Linked DNA regions of Rattus norvegicus. The protein of the gene in region 1 interacts with the protein of each later gene in a pairwise test. Links are inferred from orthologs where the notes say so. Each region holds a gene or a part of one and is shown on either strand. Other genes may lie near its edges.

Region 1 (11,708 bases):
TTATTAAATGTTTTTAGTTCCATTTCAAAAACCATAGCTTGCACGTGAGCAAGGAAACGCTGTTCTCGATAATTGTCAGTGTAAACTAAAGTGCTATTTAGAGCACTTTTCTGTCTGTCCATCCGTCCGTCCATCATTTCTTTTTAAAAAGAGGCAGCATCTCTACATAGCCCTGGCTATTAGAAACTCACTCTGTAGACCATGCTCACAGAGATCAGCCTGCTTCTGCCTCCAGAGTACTGGGACTAACGTGTTTTAACCACCACATTGGGATTGTTTTTATTTTCTTTAAAATTAAAAGCATTGTTTCAACTAGAGAATTTTTATGAACAAAACTTTTGTAGTGAAAGTTCCCATTTTGCAGATAAAGTGAGTCTTAGGCCTTCGCGTGTATTGCAACATTTGTGGTTGTCATGCCCCTCTTTTTTAATTTAAATTTTCACTTCACTGATTAGCAAATCTTTGTGTTTTTTTCATTGTATTTTTTTCTCTACTGTAGTAATGAAGCTGCAGGTGAATTGGGTTTTGGTTGGCTTGTGAGACTTTATTTAGTTTTGTGTGAGGGTGGGGGTTGGGATGTTTTGTTTTGTTTTGTTGGTTGAGGGGGGAGAGGAGGTGGTTGGTTTTGGTCTTTTTAGATAAGGTTTCTCTGTGTTGCTCTGGATGTCCTGGAACTGTCTGTATACCAGGCTGGCCTCAAACTCACCTCTGGCTCCCAAGTGTGTGCCTGGACATTAGAATAGAAGAGAAGTCACAGGCTAGTGAGGCTTTTCTTCACTCTTAAGATTATGTGGAATAGAATCTCATATTTTAAGAATAATGTACTGGCTGGTTTTTTGTGTCAACTTGACACAAACTGGAGTTATCACAGAGAAAGGAGCCTCAGTTGAGGAATGCCTCCATTAGACCCAGCTGTAAGTCATTTTCTCAACTAGTGATCAAGCCGGGAGGACCCAGGCCATTGTGGGTGGTGCCATCCCTGGGCTGGTGGTCTTGGGTTTTATAAGAGAGGAAGCTGAGCAAGCCAGGGGAAGCAAGCCAATAAGTAACATCTCTCCATGGCCTCTGCATCAGCTCCTGCTTCTTGCCTTGTGTGAGTTCCAGTCCTGACTTCCTTTGATGATGAACAGCAATGTGAATTGTGTAAGCTGAATAAACCCTTTCCTCCCCAACTTACTTCTTGGTCATGATGTTTGGGCAGGAATAGAAACCTTGACCAAGACAAAAAAGATTGGATAAAGTTTACCACAGCTGTGGCTGAACCATTTTCACACAGTACTGTGTTTAGTTAGCATTTTAGCTGTGTTCTGTTTAAGGTCTTTACTGTTACTCCCCCATCAGACTGTGGAGAGTGAGTGCTCTTCCTTGCTCTGCTGTATTGAGACTTAGGTCCCAAGAAATGGACTTTTATGTGTTGTAAGTAAAGAGCAATGACAGGTTTAGTTAGGGGTTTATTTCTGTCTCATCTCCAAAATGCCTCATTATTTTAGTCTGGGTCCCAAAACCTTATGGGAACTTAAGGAATTGGTCTGAAGTAAAGTTTGAATGAATGAGTAAACAGGTTCCTTCTATCACTAACTACTCAGACCACCTTTAGATGCAACTCAAAGCCATATTGTTTGTCTTCTATTATAAATTATCTTAAAATTACTCCACTAGGAATATTTGTAGTAGATACCAGAAATGACTGCTTAAAAATAAGTTTAGAAAAGTAATTGACTTTTCTGAATTTCTTAGTTTTTAAAACAACTCTGTATTTTATGAAAGTTTTTAATTTTATTACATTTCATTTTGATTGATCCAGGTTCATAGATTTACAAGGAACTCACAGAGATCACTTTCCTCTGTTTTCCAAGTGTTGGGTTCTTAAAGATGTATGCTATTATACCCAGCTTCAAGTGTTTTTTAATTACATTGCATTTTGTGTTGAGGCTATGTCCTGGGTATTGAATTAAGGTGGTCAGACTTGGGAGCTGAGCCATTTCAATAGGCTATGGGTCAGTTCTTAGTGTTGCTATGCTTAAGGTTTTAGAAGGATGAAACTAGAGACTTAGTCTAGTAAAGGATGATTATGCTGGTATGTGAAGAATCTGGTCATAATTTCTAATAACTAATTGAGATATGTGTTTAAAATCACTCTGATTTCTAAATTTTTGTATTTCTAGGAAAGACCGGGAACGAGATCGGGATAGAGAGGACCGATCTAAAGATCGAGACCGAGAACGTGATAGAGGAGACAGAGAACGGGAGAGGGAGAAAGAAAAGGAAAAGGAATTGAGAGCTTCCACCAATGCTATGCTTATCAGTGCTGGATTGCCACCTTTAAAAGCTTCTCATTCCGCTCATTCAACCCACTCCGCTCATTCAACACATTCTACACATTCTGCCCATTCAACACACACCGGACATGCAGGACACACATCACTTCCACAGTGTATTAATCCATTTACCAACCTGCCCCATACTCCTCGATATTATGATATTCTAAAGAAACGTCTTCAGCTCCCTGTTTGGGAATACAAGGATAGATTTACAGATATTCTTGTTAGACATCAGTCATTTGTACTGGTTGGTGAGACTGGGTCTGGTAAAACAACACAGGTGAGTTGTTAAAGACCATGGTAAATACGTTCATGTTCAAACTAAATGTGCTGATTGGTTCTTGGTAGTCCTTTCCATTGTCTGTCAACTCATTTCCAGTTGTCTTGTCTTATAGAGTACCTTGGAGAGTCCTTTGATGAGCACTCTTTAGTAACTTTAAGGGTGTGATTCAAATAGAGTGTTCAGGTTTTTCTGAGTCCACATAGGAAAATAACTGGTATGGTCTCATCTTGTAGGTACGGCAGGAATAATTTTCAACACATTTTAACCCTAAGACAATACAGAGTTAGAAATACAAAGTTTATTTTTGAGTGCTTGAGTAGAGAAACCTGAACAATTGAAGTAGTTGTTTCTACTCCAAGTATTTGTTAAAATATTTCGAATTATGTGAACAGTGTAAAAAAAGTTGAAATTGCCAGTTATGATAATGCAAATCTTTTCTAGCATTTAGGAATCAGGTAGGCAAGTTTCCGAATTCGAGGTCAGTTTTCTATAATGAGATCCTGTCTCACAAGAAGAAAATGATTAGAAATGCTGCAAGGTACAAAGTATGGTTGTGACCTGCATCCATCTGCTTCCAGGGTTGTAGTACTAAACACTGTTAAAGGGGGCTCATCGGGTGCTCACAGGTTTTAAACATGAACAAGCCATTACTTGATCTTGTTGATAGGTGGTGCAGCCTATTTTTATAATTTTTTACACTACTGCATCTATTTATGTGTGAATGTTTGTGTATGGGTACACCCATGCCAAAGCACATATGTGTCAATCAGAATAACTTAGGAGAGTTACTGTTCATCCTATGGGTATTGAGGATTGAACTCAAATTGTAAGGCTTAATGGCCAGTGCCTTTAACTCACTGAGCTGACATACCAACCTTAGGCTTTGTTCAGTAACTTCAGGGACAAGTATGTTTGTAGATTTTTGAAATGTCTAGATTTATTGCACTCGTACTACATGTAGCCAAATAGTCCTTTCCTCATGGAGCACCCGTCAGCTGTTTGGTTATATCCCTGAACTTGAATTTAGTAGTAATTGTGGATTTAATAGACACTTGGGAAGCCATCAGAGAAGAGTCTCATTTTGATTACAAAAGTTGTTGGGTATGGTAGAATATTTCCAAAACACAGGAAAATACTGAAATCAACTTAATAATTGCCCATTTTAATATGTAAAGATGAAAGGCTTTTTTGACTTATTCATTCATTTTTATGAATGTAGGGTACACATTTCTAATTGAACATGCTGCTAAAGCAGGTACTCTACCATTGAGCTCTATGTTCAGGGTGTCCCCCCACCCCCACCCCCGTTTTTTTTATTTTAAAGAAAGGATCTTGCTATTCAGTCTATTTAGGCTTCTAGTTTTGCTATCCTCTTGCCTGCTGAACCTTAGATGTGGACCACTGTGTCTGGCTTAGGATTTTTTTAAATTATGTTCTACAGATCAAAACTGAGTATTTCATAGAGACATTTTGATATTCTAGCAACCAAAAATATTAAAAGATTTAATTGAGGGACAACTTTATGTTAATAACTCAAACTTTTAGCTGTGGATAGTGACACTTTTAATTTCAGCATGTTGAGGGCAGCTTTGTCTACAGAGAGACACCCTGTATCAAACAAACCCTTAACTTTTAAATTTAATGTCTTTTTAAAAAAAAATTCATGAGAATGTGGCTCTATCAATGCCAGTAGAATTTTTAAACTATTTCAGATGCTATTGACAATCTTTGTTAATATTTTTGGAAAGTCAAACCATATGTATTTTTCATGCTTTATTAATAGCCACATTGAAGGTAGTTTGCATTGTGCAGATGGACAGACATAAAGAGAACTAAGTGCTGTCTATCAGGTTGGACATCAGAATTGAGAATATGTAAAATACATCCTACTAGAAAGGTTTAGTTTGAAAAAATTATTTTTTGTGGGGTGAAAATGCAAGTTTATACAAGATGGGTTTCATTAGGAATTAATATGTAAATCTATTACTTTCTCATTAGTTATTTTAAGAGTATAAAGAACTTTTAAAAGTTTGAGATCTGCCAAATAAAATGAAGTTAAGTCATTCATTTCATTAGAATGGATTTTTTTTTAAATCTGAACAGTTTTAAGAATTAAGGACTAACTTCCTTTAATCTGCTAGTCAGTGCTTCTAATTTCACATTGTTTGATTTTATTTTACTTTCCTTTTCTTTTGGAGCAGGGTTGGTGAAATGAAGGTAGATCCTTAAAGCTTTCCTAGAAAAGCACTATGGTTCTGTTGGTTTCCAGAACTAGGAAGATAGTGTTAGTTAGTAGTTTTCTTCATTTAGGCCCTTGAAAAACATACACTATTTTCTTTGGAGAAACAGTATAATTGTCTCCCCTTTGAGTTATTTGTTTTTATGCATGAGCTAGTCAAATTGCAAAAGTAATTAACTAAATTATATATAACAGTGTATCAGCCAACATTTCTCATCAGATGTCGTCATGTAAGCACTGAGATCCAAGCCCTGTACATACCTTAGTATTAGAATGTTTCAGATTTCAGAATCCTTGATGAGACAGATCGAGGTACTTATAGCTGAGGATTCTTAAGGTTGTGAACATTTACATCTTCCTATCTTTTCCGTTAAATGACTAGAGAACCAAACTATGAGAGAAGCCCTTCATGTCTGCATATTGTAATTGGTCACCATAGTGACCACCTTGAGCTTCAGATTTTCTTTTCTCTTTTCCCCTTGGCTGTTCTCAGTCCCTTTGAACTTGAAGGTGGTGATTTTGAGAACTTAACTAGTTAAGATGTTATCTAAGGTACTGTTACTGTGCATAATACTGCTCCTGAGAGAAAAGTTAACAGGGTTATAATGACGTTTTGATGGATTGCAATTTATATGATACTTGTGCCTACATTTTTATAATTAAGAATGTGATTTTCAAAAGTATACATTGCTGTATTTTACTTCTGAGACTTAAAATTCTTTCAAGGATAGAATTTAAATTGGATGTTTTTCCATTGCTTAGAAATACTAATGGTGCAGCTGTACTGCGGAGCACACTGAGCACCTCTGAGTGGATCTTGTCTTCCCAGGAGTGTAATTATGTTACATCCCTGTTGTCCATGAGCCCTTCTGGCTTAGAGTGCTCGCGTTAGTGTAACCCGAGTCATAACAACTTTGCATAATTGAATTTTGTTTTAAATAATTACAGTAAGATAAAGTATTAGATACATATAGTTTGTATGTGGGTAGGGTACAGATAATTTAAATGTGAAATCATTTCATAGATACCACAGTGGTGTGTGGAGTATATGCGATCCTTGCCAGGACCCAAAAGGGGAGTTGCCTGTACACAGCCCAGGAGAGTGGCTGCAATGAGTGTGGCTCAGAGAGTTGCTGATGAGATGGACGTGATGTTAGGCCAGGAAGTTGGATACTCCATTCGATTTGAAGACTGCAGTAGTGCAAAAACCATTCTTAAGTAAGTACTCTATCTTTAAAGTGGATACTACTCTAATTATAGGTTTGGTTTGTTTTTTTTTCATTAGTTAAGGACTTTTACTAATGGAATTGCCAGCTTTAAAATACAATGAAATAGACATGCCAGGTGATTTTTGTCAGTGTTTTTTCTTGATGATAGTATATTTAGCTTTTCAGTAGAAATTCTGTTTCATGGGTTGGGGATTTAGCTCAGTGGTAGAGCGCTTGCCTAGCAAACGCAAGGCCCTGGCTTCGGTCCCCAGCTCCGAAAAAAAGAAAAAGGAAAAAAAAAAAAAAGAAAGAAATTCTGTTTCAGTTTAGTTATGTGGTGCTATATCCTGTGTAAAATGTTAATAATAGCATAAAGTGTGGTGTTTTAGATTGTTCATTTAAATGTAATAAAGGGTAAAAATGTTAGTAAAAGTTATGTTTAGAACAGATGATATGTGGGAGGGATGTGATTTATTTATGGGTAAGGAAAATTGTGTAGTTTTTGCTATGTGTGAGCTCATGGAAGAATCTTGTTCTGTAATAAAGTATTTATACCATCTCAAGATCCTGCTTCTGTGACCATTTTGAGCCTTGTAACTTAATTTATATAGTTGTTTTCTGGGTCTTACAGTTACATTCTGCTTAACTAGTGATAATTGCTGTCCAACAAATCTTACTTTCTCCTCTTGCTTTTATGTATTCACATTTATAGGACATTAGTCAGTTTTAGAAATAACTTGGTCACAGTGCAGTTTTCAAGTGTGTTATAAAAAACAAACCTGGAATACATGGTCAGTGATGTGAACCTGTGGTGTGGAAATGCCCTGTGGTAAGATGAATGAGATTGATTGGATTAGGAAAAATGGTACAGTAGCATAGTATGAGGTTCTGTATCCACCATCCTTAGGCTCTTGGTTCATCCATATCTGAGCATTGATCTTAAGTAGTACATATTTTTGTTTTTGAATATTTAGTGTGTCTCTTAAAATTTATAACTGAAAAGGCAGTTTTTTAATTAAGATAGCCTGTTAACTTTTTAGCTTATATTTCACTTTTTTTAAGTTCTTGGGTTTCATTTGAACTTCATAATTTTTTAATAGAAGTTCAACTTTAAAATACTAATCAGCTTATGTTTTTTACTTTTAAGGAATGTATTTTTGGCTTGTATCTTCATTTTCATTGAATATAAAACTTAAGGTGATAACATCTGTGATTTGAAATTACAGTATAATGACTATATTGCATAAAATCAGCTTTTTTATTACTCTATAAGATGTAGATATCAAGAACTTGAAAATAAAGAATAGATTTTTCCTCATCTCTACAAGGAGTATCTTTTCAATATTTGATTATGTACCATATTTTCTCGGTAAGCTACAGTAAAGGGAATAAAGCAGTGTGGATTTTTGAGAAAATTACAAACCATATTAATAGTGTATCTGGTAGAAGTAGAGGAAGGATGGACTTTCAAAAGATGGATCTTGTAATTAAAGCTTTAAAACTTATTCTAGATAAACTAAGCTTGTTGGTATTCTACAATCTGTTTACCATCCTTTAAAACTAACCTGGCATTGTTAATGGACTTGGAAATGGGTATGTGTTTTATTTCCTTCAAGGAAAGAAAAATTGTAATGCAACTCTTAGTAGTAAGAGTGTTAGTGGTAGTTTTAATTGATAGGGTGACTTCACTAAGAAGTGTTGTAAAAGTACCTGGATATATTTGCATTAACTCACTGAAAACCCAGAGAGTAAAAACTGGCAAAGCTTTTAAACTGAAGGTCAGTTGTGTATTGAGTAGGAAGAATGCATGTATAGACAGGTCCTTACCCTGCATTAACTATTTTTCTATCTAGAAATTAAAGTGTTTACATATTCATCAAATAGTCAAACTTTTAATACAAAAGGATAGTAGAGGAGACTAAATTTTAAAGATTTTTTTTCTTGAACATCTCAGAATATAGACAGACAGTTCGAAGCTACATTTGTGTCTTTAAAATTGGTCCTATATGGTATCCATAATATATTTTCAATGTTTGAGATGCATTAAATTCTACATTAGGTATTGTACTGTTGGCAGAGGATTTGACCTTGTACAAATTAGTCGACATGGAGATCAGACATAGCATTAAGGAATCTAAAGAAACAGTCCAGTCTGAAAACTAGTGGGTTAAGGATAAATGCCATTGTGACAGTCATGTCAGAGCATCATGATTCATCGTGATGTTTGGAACAAGACGTTGATGTGTAATACCATTGCTATGGATTGAAGAATTTCTTGGTATGAGTTGTAACAAATCATAGAACATTTCTTAGTTTATTTTCAGGGAACAAATGACTTTGGAAAGGGAACAGTTTAATCTGTAGAAAAAATATTTTGGAGTTGACTTTGTAGATAATATTACTGGTAGTTGAGGTGATAACAGCTGAACAATAGAAGTAGTTTGATGTTGAGGGAATCCAGCTATTTATCAAGAAATACTCAGTACTTTAGCCATTGAACAATGTTTTATGTATTAGACAATATATAGTAGTAAGAAATTAATCTGGTTTATGTCTATCAAGAGCAAATATAAATACAAAGTTTCAGATAGCTGAAGCAGATCATATTTATATGGAAGAATAATTCACGTTTGATGGAGAAGTTGGTTTCTTGGTGACAGTGTGGAGTCTAACCCAGGACCTCATGCTTGCTAGGCAAGTGATCTACCAGTGAGCCATATTTCAGTTTTGTGTAGTCGGCATTTTCAGTCTACGATCCAGTTGAATGAAGCAAATAGAAAGATTGAGGTACAGGGTGCCAGAATTCTAGGCATATGGGATAACCCCCACCCCCAATTTTTTTGTTCCCTTAAGGGAAAGGTTAGCTTTTAATCCTTTAAATATGTAATGTGTGTGTCGGTTTGAGCATGGCTAACCATGGCATATATGTGTTTATCAGAACAATGTATGGCTCTCTCTGTTGTGTATGTGCACATGTGATAGGGTTTCTATAGCCCTACCTGTCCTGGTTTTTGCTTTATATCTATAGATTAGGATTGCCTAGAAATGAGTTCTGCCTGAGCTTCCTGACCATGTCATGCACTTAAAAGTTTTTTGCTTGAGGAAGTACCACAGTTACTTTGTGAGTAATAAAACTTTTAAGCATTGAACAAACATATAAGCATTTTATGCCAGATTACTTTAAGTTATTAAAGAACTAGATTATTGTGGACAATAATCAAAGGTGGGATTTTTAATGTCTTGCTTAGTGGAGCTACAAATTTGGGATAGAATTTGAGTCTGTCTCCTATGCTTGCCTTGTATGTGGAACTTGGTGGGTTCTTCCCTTCTCCACTTACTCTGAGGAAGTCAAATCGGCAACAGAGGAATGTGAAACTTGTGACTATAAGAATCTTGATGAATGTTTAGCAAAATTAAGAGAAGGGGAAGATATAATAAGGACCTTCTAAAATTCTTTAAGGTTCTGTTGATGAAGCAGAACATGGAGATTTAGAGATTTAGGTAATTTCCTTTTCATTCGGTATCTGTTTTGGTTATCTGATTAGCTTTAGTTTTGGGATTTTAAAGGAGACTCTGAAGTTAGTATATAAAACAAGTATAATTTTGAAGGGATATGAGTTCTGTTAACTACTGTTCTCATACTCTACCCAGAATTTTGTCTGGTATAATTTGAGGTTAAGCTGCTAGGAAGCCAAGAAAAGGTAAAGACAAGAGGAAGGACATGGTTGAAACATAGGGAAAAATGAATGGCAGTCTTCATTGTATAAACTCCATTTAAAACTTAAAGGAAATACACTTTTAATAAGAAGTATATTTATACAATCTAGATAAAAAAATTTATAGGATTGTTTTAATATTAAAGATAGGCGTTCTTTATAGGCAAGAAGGTGGAAGAAGCCAAAAGATCCTACTAGCAAAATACAAACACTACTCAGTAACGATCTTGGTGGTAGGGAACATTTAAGGATGACACCCTGAGAATTATGATATATTGCCTGGCAAATTTAATACTGAAGTGCTAACTGTATAAGAATTTAGAGTCTGTAGCATTAGCCAACAGGGCACAGTGATGAGGAATTTGAGAACCAAGATGATCCCTCTATCCTAAGGTCTTGAGTTGGGTCCCAGCCCTATTACTAATTAGTTGCAAGTTTCCAGAGGAAGGAGCTAATAACTGTCTCAAGGATTCTAAGTGTGTTGATCTATGTACAGTCATGATATACTGACACTCAGCTTAACTATGTAGTCAACATGGCTAACACACTGCTGGTGGTAGTGGAAGTATATTTCCAGCTATATTGTAGAATCTTACTAGTCAGATTTAGTGTGAATGAAAATGGCTTCCATGGGATCAAATATTTGAGTGCTTGGTTCCTATAGTTGGACCATTTGGGAAGGACTCCTCCTGGGAGTGTTTGAGGAGGTATGTCACTAGGAAAGGGTGGATCATTGTCTCTTGAATCCTCAGCTTTGAGGTGATAATGTTAGCTTTGAGCTACTGCTTCAGTACCGCATGCTGTAATCCTCCTTGCCTTCTGAAACTGAAAGCAAACTTCCAAAAAATTTATAAGTTGTCTTGGTCTTGGTGTCTTCTTACAATAATAGGAAAGTAACTAACTGGTGCCTACCAGCTAAACTAATTTAAAAGGAGCTTAATAAAGCAATGTAAAGTTCTGTATAACACAATAATTGAATTACAGTTGAGGATATTAGCATGAATTAGAATTTGATGTTTGTCATTGTGGAGTGAATGTAGGCAAGTGCCCTTAGGGCTTGAGATAAGAAGTAAAAACTGGTCTGCTACTACTTTAAGCCTCATATGTACGATTTAAAAGTAATTTATAGTAGTAGGCTCCATTCTTATTGAACTCTAGTGTGTAAGCTAAATGGTTTAGTTTGATCTTTGTGCTCTTAGGCAGGGGAGTACAGAATAATTGGTAAGTTGACTAAGCAGTTGACTGAAATATTACTTTTCAAGTGGGATTCTTTTTTTTTTTTTAATCTGTATATATGCAAGGCAGTGTGCTGTACCACTTACGAAGGTCAGAAGTTGGCTTTTCTAATCATTAGACTGAACTCAGGTCTTTTTGCCCCCTTCAAATAGAATTCTACTGACTTATCAATGTAAGCTAACTTGATCACCTACTTATTTCTAATATTTATGCACTTGCAAAAAATTACTTGTAGAAGGCCTACTTTGTTTGCACAGTGCCAGTATTTGGTGGGAAAATGCATAGAAATTATAATCTCAGCTTTTTGTCATGTTGTTCTGGGAGTAAAAGAGTATTGCCTTCAAAATTTAGAGTTGGAATTGGGCAAGTATTTAAAAATTGTTTGTTTATAGTTGTTAAATTTTTAGGCTTTTTCTTGATTAGGCATCTTAAACTTGAAACAGGCTAAATAACTTGGCATAACAAAACTGTTCGGCGTGTTTGGGTGTCTGGGCTAAGCATTTCAGCCGAGAGAGAGAGAGAGAGAGAGAGAGAGAGAGAGAGAGAGAGAGAGAGAGAGAGAGAGAGAGAGAGAGTGAGTGTGTGTGTGTGTGTGTGTGTGTGTGTGTGTGTGTGTCACAAAGGAGCTTGATATTTCCTGGTTCTTACTTTGTTTGTTTTATTAGAACATTGAGGTATATTTCATTTTTAGGTGAGCACCACATC
Region 2 (10,771 bases), on another chromosome or scaffold:
TGATTACACTGTCCCTGTCTTCAGACACACCAGAAGAGGGCATCAGATCCCATTACAGATGATTGTGAGCCACCAAGTGGTTGCTGGGAATTGAACTCAGGACCTCTGGAAGAGCAATCTGTGCTCTTAACTGTGCCCACAAATAGACATTTTTGTCTTTGAATTTACCTGTTATAAATGTACTCAGAACTGTGCTCTTCTGTGTTTAGCTTCTTTCCTTAGCATGCTTGTGTATTCTTGAGAATGGGGTGTAGCTTGTCAGGGAATATTTTATTTTTGTTAGTGTCTATAACTTAGGGATGGGAAGCAATTTTAACACTCCATAAATAAGAATCTATTTATAACTAGGAACTGTGTCTATAGCATAGCAAACAAGTACATTTAGCAGGAAGTTGGTGTAGAGTACCTGTGGTTTCTGAGTGAGAAGTGTGAAGAAACAATATGCTGCCTGCCTGTGTGCCTAGCTTCTTCCTTATTAGTTCACTTCCGTCATTTGTTCCATCTGACATCTCCATGGCAGTTCTCCCTCATTCAGCCATATATGTGACAATCCCACAGTTCCTTTCTCTGTAAGAGACATCATAGAAGACCCAGCTAGTAGAATGGGAAAAGGCTCTTGCTCCCAAACCTGATAACCCAGAAACTAGATGTTAGAAGAAACCAGCTCCAAGTTGTCTGTGACCTCTGAGCTCAGTATAAGCAATCAAACAGACATGACTAACCATGATTTTATAAGGAAGAAAAGGGGTATGTGTGATAGCACATATCCTAGACAGAAGTTGGTGGGTCTCATGGTTCTAGGACACCCAGGACCTGTCTCAGAAACAACTACATATATTAGGTGTGGTACACGCCTGTCATCCCAGGTTTCTGAGGTCAAAGCAGGAGGATGAGGAGTTCAAGGTAGCCTCTTCTACACATTAAATATGAGCACAGCTACATGAGATCCTGTTTTAACTTTTAAATTTATATTTTATTATGGGTATTTTGCTTGCATGTGTACCATTTGAGTGCCCAGTTGTCAGTGCCTAAAAAAACTAGAAAAGAGATTGGATCTCCTGGAACTGGAGTTAAAGATGGTTGTAAGCTACCATGTTGTTGCTGTGAATCAAAACCCAGATCCCCTGGAAAATTAGCTCCTGTTTCTAACCACTGAACTACCTCTCCAGCCTCAAGATCCTGTTGTTTGTTTTGTTTTTAAATAAGACAAACCAAAAAAAAACCCTCTATTCTTGAGAAGAAGTAATCTACTTTTTCTAGAAGTTTCATGCTTTACTAGCTAGTGCATCCTCATGCATACCAAGGTGTTCTATATCACTTTATCACTAGTCCTAGGTATATTTTGTTTTTGTTTTGGGGATTGGTTTGTTTTGGTTTTGTTTTCGCTAGTTGTGTTGAAATGCATCTGGCTTAAGACTCCCTTTGTGGGGTTGGGGATTTGGCTCAGTGGCAGAGCGCTTGCCTAGGAAGCGCAAGGCCCTGGGTTCGGTCCCCAGCTCCAAAAAAAAGAACCAAAAAAAAAAAAAAAGACTCCCTTTGTAACTGAGAATGAAATCCTGATCCTTCTGCTTCCACCTCCCAAATGCTAGGTTTACAGACGAGTGTCCAGACCAGACTTACTTGGATTTCTGTTTGGTTTTTCAGATAAGTTCTCAACTCTATAGCCTAAACTGACTTTACAATTGTAGTCATCCTGCCCAAGGCTCCGGAGTGCTAGGGTTTACAGAGGTGCTTTACTATTGACCTAATATTTAAGTTAACATAACAGGACTTGAGGTATAGCCAGTGGTAGAGCAGCTGCTTATATGGCATATTATAGCCTTCGGACCAATCTCCTCCACACAAAACCTTCATCAACAAATCTGCAGTCACTGCATATTCTTTTTTTTCCTCTTACAGTACTACTATAATTCCTTAACACAGCAGTACTTGTACTGGGATGGAGAGAAGGAGACCTACGTGCCAGCTGCAGAGTCTAGCTCTAACCAACAAGCTGGCCTACCTTCCACAAAAGAGGGAAAGGAGAAGAAAGAAAAGCCCAAGAGCAAAACTGCTCAACAGGTATGACCTGTCCAAGGACACCATGGTTCCTCAGAGACTTAAATCCACTTAATTCTTCATTTTTGGCTTGTAACACTTAATTAAGTCAGCTTTATTTGGATTCTTAAAAACTGGGCTACTGGTCCTGTTGGTCCAAGCCTATAATGAAGCAACCTAAGATGCTACAGCAGAAACACACTTTCCCTTATTCCCTTCCTTCCTTCTTTCCTTCCTTCCTTCCTTCCTTCCTTCCTTCCTTCCTTCCTTCCTTCCTTTCTACCTTTTCTCTCATCAGCACCTTAATAAAACCCTGTTTCAAAGTAAATATGCCACTGGTAATGTAGAGTACTTGCCTAGCATGTTCAGTTGCCTGACATTTAATCCATAAAAATAAAAAACTGGGTTGGACAAGAAATGTAGCCCAAGGTAGAGTTCTTGTCTAGTATTTCAAGTGCTAGGCCTGATCTCCTGAAAGAAAACAAGAAAACTCTGCAAGGCCATAGTGAGTTAGAACTATACGAATCCCTGTCTAAAAAATGATGAGACAGGAGGCCAGGAAGACAGTTCTGTCAGTAAAGAGCTCTGTGCACAAGCATGAGCACTGTCCTCACCCCACATTTAGAAATCCAGGCTCAGGGAGACAGTTAAGCTGCACACAGAAGCCTGAGCTGGAATCCTGGCACTTATGTTTGGGATCTTCCATCTGTAACTCTGGCTCCAGGGAATATGACAGGCTTTCCTGGCCTCACAGATCCATACACATATGTATAATTTAACATATTATATAAATCTTTATGTATTTGTCTGCTTGTGTGTGGAGTAGAGGTCAGAAACAAAGGAGGTTGGTTCTCTCCTCTTGTACCATGGGTTCCAGGAACCAAACTCAGATTACTACTGAGTTATCTTGTGAGTTTCACAATGTAAGATTCTTTTTTTTTCCGGAGCTGGGGACCGAACCCAGGGCCTTGCGTTTGCTAGGCAAGCGCTCTACCACTGAGCCAAATCCCCAACCCCACAATGTAAGATTCTTGTTGGCTTATTTATTGTTAGATCACAGAGAGGTAAGTGCTTTTTGATGGTGTTTGTTGTTTGATAATAGATTGCCAAAGACATGGAACGCTGGGCTAAGAGTTTAAATAAGCAGAAAGAAAATTTTAAAAACAGCTTTCAACCTGTCAATTCATTGAGAGAAGAAGAAAGGAGAGAATCTGCTGCAGCAGATGCTGGCTTTGCTCTTTTTGAGAAGAAGGTATGGTAACGGGAGGAGCCATACTTCGTAATGGCTGTTTCTGTAACCGTTGTGGCTTATGGCATGTTCTGTTTTCCAGGGAGCCTTAGCTGAAAGGCAGCAACTCATCCCTGAATTGGTGCGAAATGGAGATGAGGAAAATCCCCTCAAAGTAAGGAAGTGCCACCTGTGGTCTAACCAGCTGTGTGGTTTATGTCTCACTTTGAGTTTCTGCTACATCTTGGCTAATGCAATTCCCTCTTAAAATGGGATGCTTTTCTCTGTCAGTGGGTATTTGGAACAGCTTTGGCATATAGAATCCACATTGAGGGCTTTGTTTTCGTGCCTGAGAACAGGTGAGATGGACCGATGAATGAAGCCTGAATCCCTAAGCTAAGTAAATTGGCTTCTGAGGCATTTGTAAATAGAATTTTTAATGGTCTGGAAAGGAAATTAGGACAAAGTGAAAACTTACTTTCTTGATAGATACTGGGCTAGCTGGGCCGTTGCTCTGATCTGTTGTTGTGTTTGGAGTTTTTATGCATGCTCAGTGGTTTGAAAACAGTCATCTAAGAAACCATTTCTTGGGCTTCATGGGATTGTTTCCAGAAGGCTGTTCCAGGCAGTTGATGAAGTGTTGTTTACTGAAAGACAACACAGAGCAATAGAGATTCTCTCACCTTTTGGCTGTTTTATCTGTGGAATTTCCAGTGACCCATTGTCATTTTGTCTCCAGAGAGGTCTGGTTGCAGCTTACAGTGGTGACAGTGACAATGAGGAAGAGCTGGTAGAGAGACTTGAGAGTGAGGAAGAGAAACTAGCTGACTGGAAGAAGATGGCCTGCCTGCTGTGCCGACGGCAGTTCCCAAACAGAGATGCCCTGGTCAGGCACCAGCAGCTCTCTGATTTACACAAGGTGGCCTAACTTGTCTTGCTATTGGGGAAGGGAGGGAATTTAGTGGTGGGAGTGATGGCCCTGGTGAGGTTCAGTGAATACCCATCTGTTGCATAGGTGCCTGGTGTCATAGGAGGTAAGAGACTCACTTTACCTTCACACACTCCTGGATTTGGTTTGGATGCTAATCATGTAGTGAGATTTGGCCAGAATATAATACAAAGTACTAATGTTAGGACATTTCATATTAAAGTGGTCTGAATTCTAAATGTGTCTGTAAACTCTCTTGTAACAGCAAAATATGGACATCTACCGAAGATCCAGGCTGAGCGAGCAGGAGTTGGAAGCCCTGGAGCTGAGAGAGAGAGAGGTGAGTACTTGGACACTGTGTTTGGATGAGAATCCTAGCATACCTGCCTTCAGTACTTTGTGTTTTGTTTGTTTAGATGGAGTCTTGCTACGTTCACAGGTTGGCCCTGACCTCTTAGGCTCACGCTTTCCAAGTAGTTACCACTGTAGGCCTATATGACCACACCATTTTGCTTTAATTCCAAGTTCCTAAGCAAAATGGAAGGATATATCAAAAACACTTTGTCATCCAGCCATTGTACCTCATGTAACTGGACTAGCGTGTGTTTTGTGAGCCCAGCAGTGGATTTAATTAAGGAAAACATGTGTTTCCTTGTTTGTCCTGCTAACATAAGCGTTCCTGAATGGTGAGGAAGGCTTCAAATCAGGCACTGAAGACAGGAAAGCATGTGATGGTTTCCCAGTCATGTAGAAGGGAGGAGTGGGCTGTACATGGTAAATGGGGCGGAGAACAAAGATTTATTAGTCTGTAATGCCTGTGGGATTACTGGTTGATGAGATAGGGCCAGATAGAATTGTAAATGCACCTAGAGACCTATACATTAAAAATCATTTAGAAGTTTCCCGCCCCGGGATCAATCTGAGGTGTCTGATCCCCACTGAGTATAGTGCCAGCTCTCCGGGTTTTTTGTTTTTGTTTTTGTTTTTATTTTTTTTAAGATTTATTCATTTATTATATATAAGTACACTGTAGCTGTCTTCAGATACACCAGAAGAGGGCATCAGATCTCTTTACAGATGGTTGTGAGCCACCATGTGGTTGCTGGGAATTGAACTCAGGACCTCTGGAAGAGCAGCCAGTGCTCTTAACCGCTGAGCCATCTCTCCAGCCCTCTCCAGGGTTTTCCGGGTGGGTTTCAGGAAGCCTCTGTTTCTGGAAGTAGACCTGTCCAAATGCTACCTGGAAGTGGGAAGTTCTGGCTGCCTCATCTTTGGGACAGTGACAAGCAATGAGACCAAAAATGGTAAAGGAGACAAAGGAATTTTGTATTGAAGTACACACTAATAGGCTCCAGGTTAAAGGCTACTACAGGTTAACATCTGAATATACAATGCTATTGAAAGTTGAAATGAGGGTCCTCCTCGCTTATCCTTTTGTTATTCTCTATATAGATGAAATACCGAGATCGAGCAGCAGAAAGACGAGAGAAATATGGAATTCCAGAGCCCCCAGAGCCCAAGCGCAAGAAACAGTTCGATGCTGGCACTGTGTATGTGATGTGCACCATTTTCCAGTTCACTAGCTAGGGCTCTGGCTGTTTAAGTAACTGTGTGTTTGCCACTGGCAGGAATTACGAGCAGCCCACCAAAGATGGCATTGACCACAGTAACATTGGCAACAAGATGCTGCAGGCTATGGGCTGGCGGGAAGGCTCAGGCTTAGGAAGAAAGTGTCAAGGCATCACGGCTCCCATTGAGGTAAGTATGGGCTCTGATATTCATAGGTGCTGGGTGTTAAGTAGGCAGAGGCACACTTCCCCTGAAACCCCTTCTTCATCTCCCTCATTGTGTCCTTTTGTTTTTAAGAGGGAGTTTTGTTTTGTTTTGTTTTGAGATCAAGTGCCCCGTGTAGCCATGATTTTCCTGGAACTCACTATGTAGACCAGACTGGAATCGGACTCAGAGGTGTATATGGCCCTGCCTAGAGAGTGCTAAAACTAAAGACATGTGCCATAGGCCTAGTGCCCTTGCTTGAAAATGAACATTTAGAAAGATAGTTTGTCATTTGAGAGTGCTTTCTGGGGCTGGGGATTTAGCTCAGTGGTAGAGCGCTTACCTAGGAAGCACAAGGCCCTGGGTTCGGTCCCCAGCTCCGGAAAAAAAAAAAAAGAGAGTGCTTTCTGCTCTTGCGGCCTCCACAGGCACTGCATACATGTGGTGCACAGACACACATGCAGGCAAAATAATCATAGACATAGAAATGAGTGAGTAATTGAAATATTCCAGGACCTGGGCTGGAGAGATGGCTCAGTGGTTAAGAGCACCGACTGCTCTTCCCAAGGTCCTGAGTTCAATTCCCAGCAACCACATGGTGGCTCACAACCATCTGTAAAGAGATCCGGTGCCCTCTTCTGGTGTGTCTGAAGACAGCTACAGTGTACTTATATATAATAAATGAATAAATGTTTAAAAAAAAAATATTCCAGGACCAACAAGATGGCTCAACAGGGAAGCCTAGCAACTTAAGTTAGGTCCCCAGAACCTACATAAAACTAGAAGAGAACCATCTTTACAAAGCTGTCCTTTGACATTTGTGCACCATGCCATACATCCCCACTCCTTCACCCCCCCCCCCCGGACAATTTTTTTTTTTTAATTTTTAAAGAAAATGTAAGGCAGATACAGTGGTACAGGCCTGTTTTTGGTAAACTGAGACAAGAGGCCTAACTGGCCAACTCAGTGAGACCCTGTCTTGAACTTCCCACCCCAACTTACCCATCTAAAATTTAAATTTAGAAGAAGAAATTACTCAATTTGTCAGAGCCTAAATTGAGGCAGTCCTGGGCTCAGAGGCTCAGAGCCATTGGCCAAGGCAGGAACTGTAGCAGAGACTGCCCTGGGGCACAACCATTGTCAGCCTTTCTTGTTTTTACTTTATGCAAGCATGTTTCCCCGGTGCATGGGAGTTTTATTGGCATTATCCATCGTGTTTGAACTTGTGCCTATAATTACCTTACCCAGGCCTCAGCTTTAGAGACCTTACCAGCCACCAATGTTCACTGAGTAGGCATTCAAGAGTATGAGTGGGTTCATTTCCTTAAGCACTTCTATTGCCCCAGTCCTTAAAATTGTCTCCAGGTCCAGTGTTAGCCCTCGCCTTCTTTTTATGTGTACTTTTGTTCAATGGTATGGGTGGGATAGAAGTGGGTGCGTCCATCTGTGCCTTGCTTATCAGCCACTAACAGTCTCTTTGTTTCCCCAGGCTCAAGTCCGGCTAAAAGGAGCTGGCTTAGGAGCCAAAGGCAGTGCATATGGGTTGTCAGGTGCCGATTCCTACAAAGATGCTGTTCGGAAAGCCATGTTTGCCCGGTTCACTGAGATGGAGTGAGACTGGCGAAGCCATGCTGAGCACAGGGAGCAAGCCATCTCCTCAGTTGCTCTTACTGCCTGTCTCTAGGGCATGCCTTGTGCTGTTAATAGTTTTAGGATGAACCACTTCATTCTGAGGGGTTCTCCTACCTTAAATGAGCTCCCTTATGTGGGTTACCTGGTAAACAACCTTTCTTCCCACCTAAGGATTTGTGAACAGAGGGGACAATGGGCTTTTTATACAAGGTGTATATAGTGTAAATATAATGTGTTTTACATGTTGTCGCCTGTGTTGTGTCCCTGCTTCTTGGGGGCTTGAGAAGCTCGGAGTGGTTGTCAACACCAAAGCCACCACTGTCATTTATTGTTGTTATGTCCTTTCCTGGCAATAGCCTTGTGTATATTTGTATATTATACATTTGTACAGAATTTTGGAAGATTTTCAGTCTAGCTGCCATGTCTGGCTCCTTTACAAAAGAAATACCTTCAAAAATGGGTTTCCTGTGTCTTTATTGAGAGAATGGGTGGTAAAGGCTGTTGAGACAGTTGGATCTGTGATGGTTTTTCTTTGCAATTGGTTTTTTTGAGATGAGTTATACAACCTAGGCTAGCCCAGGCTGGTTTGGTACTTGTAATCTTTTGGTTCTCTCTACTTCCAGTTCCTAAGCATGGATAGGACTGCTTTTATCTCAGTATTTAGGTTCTAGACCTGCCAGGGCAGAGATTACATGACTAGATTACTGCTCATCCAAATAGAACCTCCCTTTGGTTTTGTTCTTTAATTTTTAAAAAACAACTTTAGATCTATGTGTATTCAAGTAATGTCTGTGCATATGTGCATGCTGGCACCCACAGAAGCCACAAGAGGGTGTTGAAACTGAAGTTATGAACTGCCTGTGGGTGTTGGGAGTCAAGTGTGGGTCCTCTGAGGAGAACAAGTGCTCTAAACCACTGAGCCTTCTCCAGTCCCTGTTTTTTCTGTCTCACTGTATAACCCAGGCTAGCCTTGAACTTGGGATCTTCCTGCCTCAGCCTCCAGAGTGCTGCAGTTATGGGCATGATCCTCCCTGCCTTGACAGGGGTTCAGATAAAACTACTTTTTTTCTCCTTTGCTGGAATGGAGGTGCCAACACTCACCTGTAGGGAAGGGTGCTGTGGTGCATTTATGGGGTTTCTATCCTTAACACTAGGGCAAGAAGCATTTTGTCCAAAAAAGACTTAAATGTGATGGTAATGATCTTAGGGCCCAGAGCATAAGAAATCCCATTCTTATGTCTACATATCTGTACCTATGTATCAGAAGTAATGGCAGATCCCCTGGGAGCCCTCATGTGGGTATTGGGAATCAAATTCAGGTTTTCCTAAGAGCAACCAGTACTTAACTGTAGATCTGTCCCTCCAGGTTGTTGCTTGATTTGATTTGACTAGGGAGGAGGGGGGCAGTTTATATTGCCCTGGCTTTCCTGGAAATCCTTATGTAGAATAGGCAGGACTTGAACTCACAAAGATCCTCTTGTCATTGCCTTCAAGTGCAGGAACTATGATTGTACCACTACAGCTGAGCAGAAAGTGTGAGGGTGTCAGACTCAGATGGGTGTTCCTACAGCCAATGTGAAGTTGTCAGGGAAGGTAGTCTGTGTTCAGGCAGACATGGTCCTTATACAGTTGGGATGTCAATAGGAAGGACTTTAAATGGGCCGGTCCCAGCCAGCTTAGTAGCTCCCTGGAGAGGTGTGTTGCAGCTTTGCTAGGCAAAGTGAGACCAAATGCAAAACTCCCAAGTGTGGGCATACATGGCAACCACTCAGAGATGAGGCCACACATTCCCTATGCTTGGGCGCTGGATGTGTCAGCTGGACAAGTGTCTGCCCTGGGGACGATTAGCCAGTCTTCCTACCTACAGAAGCCTCTAGGGAGAGGGTAGTGACTTTACCACCTGAGCAGCAGTCATAAGCAGTCTAATTAAGCTGCGACAGCATGATGGCTCTCAGGCGAGTATAGGTGGCATGGCTCTGGAAGCTCCTAATTACCTTCAGTGGAGTCGCGAAAGCTTGGATGGCAGTGTCTGCCCTGTAGAAGAGAAGAGATCCCTCCCTCAACCATCTCACGCCTTAAGTTGACTGCTCATGCTAACAGGAACACTTGTACCCTTCTTACACTACTTGTCAGACTTTTCACATTGTTCTTCAGCCACTCCTGCTACCATGCATCTGAGCCCAGTCCTTTTTTAATTTTACAGCCAGTTTCAAAATTTCCTCTAACCTGCCTATGGGGTGCCTTCCCTCCTGACCATCTTTGATTGGGTTTGAGGAGGTGAGTGCTGCTGAGGTAATGCAAATTCCCCATCAGCCTAGGCTGACCTGCAGAAAGCCTCCAGGGTTTCTGAGTCCAGACTGCCCTTGGCTGGGACAGCTGCTACAATGTACAGGGCTTTGAGGACCATCCAGGAGCAGCTGTCATGGCTGTGCATCAAACAAGTTTCAAAGCCCAGATGAGTGGCCAGGCCTGAGCTAAGCTCTCCAGGCATGCAAAGTCTGGCTGGGGGGATCTCAAGGGTGCCGAAGTCTAGCTACCCCTATCCGGAGGGGTGAATGCCCTTAGGGACAGGTGGAGTGCTTAAGGGGGAGACTGCTCTCAGGAGACCCAGATCCTGAGAGCACAGTGCTATATGTGGCCACGAGGTGGCAGCACTCCATCATCTTTGCCCAGGCCAGTAAGCCAGAGGCCTGAGACAGGAAACGAACAAGCTTTCTTCCTAAACTGAAGATCTGGAAATACTGCTAAACTCAGACCACAAAGTACTTCGTTGCCAAGGCTGTAAGCTGCTCAGGGGACCTCTCCAAGCTCCACTAGCTGAGAAGATGCTTTCAGTATAATCCTAGCACTTGGGGGCCAGAAACGGTAGGATTGTTACAGACTCAAGGTCAGCCTAAGCTCTGTAGTGAGGCCTTTGGCCTTGATTTAAAAACGGAGAGGGTGCTGGAGAGATGGCCCAGCAGATAGAGAGCGCTGCTCCTGTAGGGCACCTACTTTGGGCTGTTGTTGACAGCATCCTCTTAACTCCAGGGATCTGACCCCTCTGATCTCCATGGACATCTTCGGTCACCCACACAGACTCAAACACAAACACATAATTAAAAACCTTTTTATAAAATTGTCACCTGGCAAGGCGCCAGGCGTCTTTAATCCCAGCATTTAGGAGACAGAGG

Evidence for each region.
Region 2: the proteins of Dhx15 (region 1) and Rbm5 interact in binary tests that used the Homo sapiens proteins (3 or more experiments, as listed by UniProt). The link is inferred for Rattus norvegicus from reciprocal best matches to the Homo sapiens genes DHX15 and RBM5.

The regions. Positions count from the first base shown.
Region 1 is NC_086032.1:63,002,729-63,014,436, forward strand, and holds part of Dhx15 (ATP-dependent RNA helicase DHX15), read left to right. Parts: intron 1-2,165; coding exon 2,166-2,601; intron 2,602-5,867; coding exon 5,868-6,061; intron 6,062-11,708.
Region 2 is NC_086026.1:117,296,150-117,306,920, reverse strand, and holds the end of Rbm5 (RNA-binding protein 5), read left to right. Parts: intron 1-1,899; coding exon 1,900-2,061; intron 2,062-3,139; coding exon 3,140-3,289; intron 3,290-3,368; coding exon 3,369-3,440; intron 3,441-4,004; coding exon 4,005-4,184; intron 4,185-4,458; coding exon 4,459-4,533; intron 4,534-5,645; coding exon 5,646-5,743; intron 5,744-5,821; coding exon 5,822-5,951; intron 5,952-7,455; coding exon 7,456-7,581; 3' UTR 7,582-7,840; downstream 7,841-10,771. UniProt on the Homo sapiens protein: Component of the spliceosome A complex. Binds to ssRNA containing the consensus sequence 5'-AGGUAA-3'. Regulates alternative splicing of a number of mRNAs.